2 linked regions of the Danio rerio genome follow. The protein of the gene in region 2 interacts with the protein of the main gene of each other region in a pairwise test. Links are inferred from orthologs where the notes say so. Each region holds a gene or a part of one and is shown on either strand. Other genes may lie near its edges.

Region 1 (3,829 bases), on a different chromosome or scaffold from region 2:
ATAAATTCTGAAGGGGATATTAATATTGTCTTTGAAACATAAAACAATCCATCCCAGCCAAACTAAAATAAATTAGAGAGAAAAACTGTAAATAATGTGAACGATTCACAAAAAAATATATTTTAAAGAATTAAAATAGGAGTGATAATTATATATCTAAATGTTTAGTTAAATATTTAAGTTATTTTTAATTACTTCAGTTTTGATTTCAGTGTTTGTTTATATTTAATAATTTTGTTTTTAATTATTTCAGTATATTTAAGTTTTGTACCGTACATAACATGCTAGTTTTTTTTTTTTTTTTTTTTTTTTTTTTTTTCAGGTGGCAGATGCCATCCTGGGCAATCAGATGTTCACTCACTATGATCGGGCTCATGTGGCACAGCTGTGTGAAAAGGCTGGTCTTCTTCAGAGGGCTCTGGAGCACTATACTGACCTTTATGACATCAAACGAGCGGTGGTCCACACACACCTGCTCAACCCAGAGGTAAAACACACAGTCTGATACAGCTACTGCACTCAGTGCTATTTTATTAGTCAGCTGTCCTCCAGTTGGCCAAAACTTTGTTGGGGGTTTGTGCTGTACTTCACCAATTGATGAGAAAAAACCTAGTAAGAAACCAGGCTTAGCTGGGCTTGACAAATTCTTCTCTGACTAAACGAACTTTAACTGCGTCGCACATGCAATCTAGTTGACGACAAACTGCCCTTTTTGTGGCACAAACCAATGAAATAAATGGGTTTTATAGTGCAGTGTGCGTTCAGTGTGAAAGCCATTTACCAGTTTACCAAAACTCTGAACGTTGAAGGCTGTCTGTGCTTTATTGGTGTTTCATCGATAAAATTCAGTATTTTGGGTTCAGGATTTTATTTTTGCAGCAACCTTGCAGTATTAGATATTTGTCATCTACAATAATATTTTAGTTGCTGTTTTTTTATTTGCAAGTTGACATTGTCACTTGTTTTGCAAAAAACATTTTGTGAAAGCTTTCACTGATGTGTTGTGCTCTGGTTGCAGTGGCTGGTGAATTTCTTTGGCTCTCTCTCGGTTGAAGACTCTATGGAGTGTTTGAGAGCCATGCTGTCTGCCAACATACGGCAGAACCTGCAGATCTGTGTCCAGGTGGCCTCCAAGTATCACGAGCAGCTCTCCACACAGTCCCTCACAGAGCTCTTCGAGTCCTTCAAGAGCTTTGAGGGTAACCATACTAAAATGTTTTGTATACCAGAACTGAAATTGAGACCGGGTTGTGTTGCCTGAAGGATCATGTCTCTTTTTTTAACTGTGTTTGTGGATCTCCATATTTGTGTATTTGCTCTGACTTGACCTTAAGGAAACTGTTATTTCCACCTAGGAAACCATAATTTCCACCAAATAGCCAAGTATATTTTAATGGTTAACACATGGAAATACTATACAAATAATATAATACATATTTTATAAATATAATCTGGTACCTAGTGCTTTATATATTTGGCTATTTCAAAATATCCTCATTATTTACTCACACTTTTACAACTTTTATGTATTTCTTTCTTTTGTTGAACACAAAACAAGGTTTTCTAAAGAATGTTGGAAAAAAGCTGGCATTGGTTTTCATAATAGGAGCATAAATCTATAAAAGTCAATGGCTGTTTTTCCAACATTCTTCAGAGTATCTTCCTTTGTGTTGAAGTGTAGAAAGAAGCTCAAAGAGGTTTGGAACAAAAAGTGAACATTTTCAGAAGGATTGCTACCCCTCTAAATGAGAGTTCTCATTGTATTTTTTAGTTTATTTAATATCTATTTAATATATATTTTAATTAAAGCGCATCATGTTTCTACAATATATTTTAATGTTGAGAGCAAAAGCGTTATAAATGTACTATTTGAATTGAACCCAATCATGAAAATGATTAAGATCTCGTGAACATTATATGATTGTTCTCTACAGGTCTGTTTTACTTCCTGGGCTCCATTGTGAACTTTAGCCAGGATCCAGAGGTTCACTTTAAATACATTCAGGCTGCCTGTAAGACTGGTCAAATCAAAGAGGTGGAGAGAATCTGCAGGGAGAGCAACTGTTATGATCCTGAGCGAGTGAAGAACTTCCTCAAGGTGTGATACCACAATAAGCTCCTGAATTTACTTTTTATCTTTTAACAAACCCTTAATGTTGCTTAATTATTTATTTTATCTTCCTCATATTTCACAGGAAGCAAAACTGACTGACCAGCTGCCCCTCATCATTGTGTGTGACCGCTTTGATTTTGTCCATGACCTTGTGCTCTACTTGTACCGCAACAACCTCCAGAAGTACATTGAGATTTATGTTCAGAAGGTACTTGAGGCGCGATTATGATAATGCTTGAGGAATCATCATCAACATTTCAGCTTAATGGGAGAGTGAATAATGATGGACTGTTTTTATCAGGTCAACCCCAGCCGTTTGCCTGTGGTGATTGGAGGGCTACTGGATGTGGATTGCTCTGAGGACGTCATTAAGAACCTCATTCTGGTGGTCAGAGGACAGTTCTCCACTGATGAGCTTGTGGCGGAGGTGGAGAAAAGAAACAGGTGCAACACTGCAGTGTTTTAAGAGTTTAACAATTTGCTGATCATATATAAACTGAAAATGCTTTTCCATTTCCATTTTCCATTTTTTCATTTTTAAAATATATTTTGTGACACATTTTTTAATTTAACCCAATAACATAAATTGTACAGATTTAAAATACCCTACACATTTAATTGAGATTACAATTTTATTGATAGTAAAAAAGTCAAGAGATGTTATTTTATCAGCATTGCAACGACAGTACAAGCAGCATGAAGTATGCTTTGTAGAAATGCCATGTACAGTTGAAGTTGAATTATTAGCCCCCCTGAATTATTAGAACCCCTGTTTATTTTTTCCCCAATTTCTGTACAACAGAGAGTAGATTTCTTCAACACATTTCTAAACATAGTTTTAATAACTCATCTCCAATAACTGATTTGTTTTTATCTTTGCCATAAGGACAGTAAAAAATATTTTACTAGATATTTTTCAAAACACTTTTATGCAGCTTACAGTGACTTTTAAAGGCTTAACTAGGCTAATTAGGTTTACTAGGCAGGTTTTGATAATTAGGCAGTTATTGTATAATGATGGTTTGTTCTGTAGACTATCGAAAAAAAAGTTAGCTTAAAGGGGGTAATAATTTTGTCCTTAAAATGTTGTTTAAAAAATTAATAACTGCTTTTATATTAGCCGAAAAAAAAAAAAGACTTTCTCCAGAAGAAAAAACATTATCAGACATACTGTAAAAATTTCCTTGCTATGTTAAATATAATATGGGAAATATTAAAATAGCAACAAAAATTCAAAGGGGGCTAATAATTCTGACTTTAAATGTATTTGCTTTTTTTCCTGTGAGCATGTGCGATTCATCATTAGATAAGAATACAGTTTCATGAATGGAATACACACAGTGTAAAATATTGATCTTTTTTTTTTCAATTCATATTTATTTCAATTCATCTTTATCTATAGTGCTTTTTTGATGTAGATTATGTAAAATATAGATGAAGTTCTGGTAAATTAAAATGGCTTCAGTTTAGTTGTCACAGTTGAAGTTCAGTGTGATGCAAAAGTCACTGTTGAAAGCACTGAAAACACTGAAGTGCAACTCTACCGGTGTGCAGCTCCACAAGTCCTAGCCAAGCAAATCAGAGCAAGAAAAAAACTGTCTCAGCTAGGCATAACCATGTCTCCTCTGGCCACAATAAACTTGTGACAACAACTTGTGACAACAAACTGCCATTTTGTGGTACAAGCCATTGAAATGAATTGGTTTCATAGTGCAG
Region 2 (4,454 bases):
CTGAATTATTAGCCCCTCTTTGATTTATTTCTTCTTTTTTAAATATTTCCCAAATGATGTTTAACAGAGCAAGGACATTTTTACCATATGTCTGATAATATTTTTTCTTTTGGAGAAAGACTTTTGTTTTATTTCGGCTTGAATAAAAAGCTGTTTAAATTTTTTTATGAACCATTTTAAGGTCAAAATTATTAGCCCTTTAAGTCTTCAGAACAAACCATTGTTATAAAATAACTTGCCTAATTACCTTAACTTAACTAGTTAACTTGATTAACCTAGTTAAGCCTTTAAATGTCACTTTAAGCTGTATTGAAGTGTCTTAAAAATATCTAGTCAAATATTATTTACTGTCATCATGGCAAAGATAAAATAAATCAGTTATTAGAAATGAGTTACTAAAACTAATATGTTTAGAAATGTGTGGAAAAAAATCTTCTCTTCGTTAAACAGAAATTGGGGAAAAAATAAACGGGGGCTAATAATTTAGGGGGGCTAACAATTCTGACTTCAACTGTATGTATATATATGTATGTGTATATATATATATATATATATATATATATATATATATATATATATATATATATATATATATATATATATATATATATATATATATATATACACACGTGTCTGTGTGATGTATGTAAAATTTGGCCCGCGACAACGTTTGTCTTTTTGCATCTGGCCCTCGGCCCAAAAAGTTTGGACACCCCTGCTTTAATAGCTTCAAAAGGATTTCAAACCTTCTTCAAGATCAGATATCTACTATTCTGTCCATATTGTTCTGTGTTCAACCAAATATACAAATGCATAAAGGTTTGAAACCACTTGAGGCTTAGACAACTTTCATTTTATGAACTAATCCTTTAATTTTAAGAATGTTTTAGGTAGGGGTGTGAACCTACACTGGTCTCATGATTTGTTCAGTTACAATTATCATGCTGTTGATTCCGTTCAATTTGATATCTCGGTACATCACGGTGCATTGACGATGCTTTCCATACAGAATTAGATTTTTTCTTCAAAACACAAGATTTTGTTTTTATTAAAATCTATAAATATATTTATATTTTTATATTATTTGTAATACAATTTTGTCCTTAAATAAACGCAGTAAGATATATAAACTGTACTTTTAATTTTACTTGCTCAAAGAAAAATCTTTTTGAATGTTTAGACAATATTCCAGTACATGCACAGAAAACAACATGAGCATTTATAGGAAATAGACTAATGTAAATATTATCCATCTTGCCTTCTGAGCGCTGTCAAGTTCTTACACTCCTATGATTGGTCACTGTCTTCACCCGCTCAATAGAGAAGGCTGCGATTAGCTTTGAAAATGAAAGCGTTGTTCACCGATGAGTGACGTGGGAAGAACAACCGCAGTTACAGTCTATTTGCGCATAATACGCGTTTATCACAGGTACTCCATAATAGTGGAGTGGAGAAAACTTGCACCACTGGCAAGCTCGTGTCTGGATCCACAAGTATCGCTGTAACAGCCGCGAGGAGAGGAAAAGTTACCTCAAGTACACGTCAGCGGGTCAAATGTCCAAAGTGAGAAAGAGGCAGAGATGGAGTTTTACAGCATTTCTCGCTAGTAGTGAAACAGCAGTTTGTGTGCTGTACATTCTTCAGTGTCAAAGAAAGACTGTCCACCAAACTCACAAGCAGTGAATTGTGCACAATTATCTGCTTTTTAAGTAGTTGGAGCATTTTAATTTCTCGCCCTCGCCTCCTTTGCCATAGTATTCTACAGCGACATAGCGCATAGGAGATAAATGTCGCCACTACGTAATAACCGGTTATGATCTATTACTGAACCAATATTGAACCATCTGCATCTGCATCGCAGTGCATCAAAGAAACAATTTATTTTGAAACTCAAGTTTTAGGATTAACTTAACAAAGGTTAGTCAATTATTAATGAGTGCATTTTGGATTTAAAGTGGACCTATTATGCAAAAATCACTTTTAGAAGGGGGTAAAGCACAGTTGTGTGAATTTAGCCAGCCTCTAATAATAAACTTTAATTAATTCTAATTTTAAGAAGAAACACTTTGGCTGACATTTTCCCTTTGTATGTCATCGGAGGGGGAAAGTCTCACCTATTAGTGATGACCTCATCCCTCGCTCATTAGCATAGAAAGCTCTGTGCAAGCAGCAGCCGTCCGCCGTTAAAGTTTTGAATCTGCAGCTATGATGACACATAGACGTTTATAGCTCCACCCTCTTTTGAAAAGAGGGCTGGAAGCACAATTTTATTTTAATTTAAAGCGACAGTCACCATAACTACGCAATTTGTACCAAAGTCTAAAAGGGGCAGTTTCTAAGATCTATGAAAATGTGTGAGGTATTATGAACTTAAACTTCACCAGCACACTATAGGGACATCAGTCTTATTTTACACATTGTAAAAATGGGCATAATAGGTCCCCTTTAAAAGTACACAATCGAATCACTATTTTAGCCACCAAACGGACTCACCTGTCATGTTGAAACCATTGTGTGTCGTTCAGTTTGTTGTCTAGTGTCGTGCTGAGAACATCAGAGAGTTGCTTCTGTGATGAACACGGCCATGAACTGTTTGCAGATATCAGACCATCTTTACTCGAGAACATCCTGATAAATGCTTCTTATTGCCCCACCAACAGCATCCACACACACAATCCGATATTTTAAACCGTTTCCCATAAAACAGCCAAAACCAATACGATTAAGTTACATACTGCACACTAAAGTAAAGGATTTCAGTTACGTTCGTTCATATATCTGCAGTGAGAGTGAGAAGTTAAAACATATTAACTAATCAAGTTCGAAACAAAAAACACAACATCCTCGCAGTGTTTTTCGTTTTATAAAAGCAATAAAAACAAACTGCGCTCTACTTTAACATTACATTCTAAACAGCGACGGCAGCTACTCTAGGACCCTACAAAGGCGCTCAAGCATACGCCTGAGTAAAACACAAACGATTCACTGTTTTTCTATTTTTTTATTTAGTTTTCTCATGTGCGGTATGCAAAGGATAAATAAATAAATATTATTGTCATACATTTACTTCTGTCAATAATAAAATACTATATTCATCTCATGTAGTTTCGTTGCCTTTGAAGCCACTGAAAAGCAAAGAGATTGAATTAACAGAACAGCAAACAATACGAAGCTTCAGTTAATTTATTAACGACAAAGATAACTTTTAACAGTTGAGAAACGATGAACATGTTTATTATTTACCAAAAAAATTTAACTGAATACCTTTTATTTATTTACTTATTTATTTATTTTTTTAATTTTATTATTATTATTATTATTATTATTATTATTATTATTATTATTATTATTATTACATTTTAACAGTACAAAAAATAGGCCTACATGTCAGGGGGTAAATAAATCAAATACAAATATACAAAATGTACATTTGTAATAAGCATGAATACGTTCACAGTAAGGTGTGTAGTGCTTTCTTATATTTAGAGAGTTTCTGATACTACTATATAAGCATAATTCAGTCATCAACACCTTAAAATTCGGTTTCTTATTGATAAATTTACATTTATAAATGTAAAATTTTGTTAGCAAAATAATTTAATTAATTAAATAAAAACAACTTTCCTCTCGATTGGGGTGGAAATGCCAAAAAGTATATTTTCCCACAACAACGACAGAGGTTAAGAACACTGTTATTAATAAATCTTTGCACCTCACTTCATAAGTTGACTGAGTATGCGCAATGCCAAAATAAGTGTAAAGCAGTCTCCTCATATTCATTACAAACAATACAATTTACTTCAATCCCACTTTTAAATTTTTGTAAATAATGTTTTGCTGGATAAAGTCTGTGGAGAAGTTTATAAGATATTTCTTTAATTTTAATTCTAACATGAAATTTTTGTGGCCACACTTTTTTCCAGCAAATCAGTTGATCCTAAAGACATCCAATAAGACTGAATATAAGGTACAGTAATAAGTTCTCTTTGGAAAAGGGTACGGATAGCCTTATTACTGTAATATAGTAAAACAGGTTTTGCCCATATATCAAAACAAAAGACGATGCATCAAACGCATGGACTTGATACCTCTTGAATACGCTTAGTAATTCGTCCCTGACGTGTCATTCGAGCGCCATCTAGAGGAATAAACTTGTCATACTTAGTTCAGCCAGTGTCAAACAAAAAAATACCAGATTAATGAAAAAGACAAGCCAGGGGGCTTCGGGGGGTTCGGAAGACGGTATCCACCCCCTTTAAGACCAAGTAGAATCCTCTGCTGGCTGTCGCTTTGGTGTGACTGTGACTTAAGTTAATCAGTTTTGGCCAATGCTAACATTTTTTTTTGTCCAACATCTGTGCAAAAAACACATAAGCAAAGTCATCTTTCACTACTGTATAGTTTTTTTTAATAGTGAAACAACTTTTATTCTAAATCTTGGACCTTATTCTCGA

What was found.
Region 1: the proteins of si:rp71-19m20.1 (region 2) and cltcb interact in binary tests that used the Homo sapiens proteins (3 or more experiments, as listed by UniProt). The link is inferred for Danio rerio from reciprocal best matches to the Homo sapiens genes C10orf88 and CLTC.

What each region holds. Positions count from the first base shown.
Region 1 is NC_133190.1:19,741,484-19,745,312, forward strand, and holds part of cltcb (clathrin heavy chain 1), read left to right. Parts: intron 1-322; coding exon 323-487; intron 488-1,018; coding exon 1,019-1,199; intron 1,200-1,934; coding exon 1,935-2,098; intron 2,099-2,195; coding exon 2,196-2,321; intron 2,322-2,414; coding exon 2,415-2,557; intron 2,558-3,829. UniProt on the Homo sapiens protein: Clathrin is the major protein of the polyhedral coat of coated pits and vesicles. Two different adapter protein complexes link the clathrin lattice either to the plasma membrane or to the trans-Golgi network.
Region 2 is NC_133187.1:11,905,512-11,909,965, reverse strand, and holds the start of si:rp71-19m20.1 (ATPase PAAT), read right to left. Parts: upstream 2,943-4,454; 5' UTR 2,628-2,942; coding exon 2,494-2,627; intron 1-2,493. UniProt on the Homo sapiens protein: ATPase that regulates mitochondrial ABC transporters ABCB7, ABCB8/MITOSUR and ABCB10. Regulates mitochondrial ferric concentration and heme biosynthesis and plays a role in the maintenance of mitochondrial homeostasis and cell survival.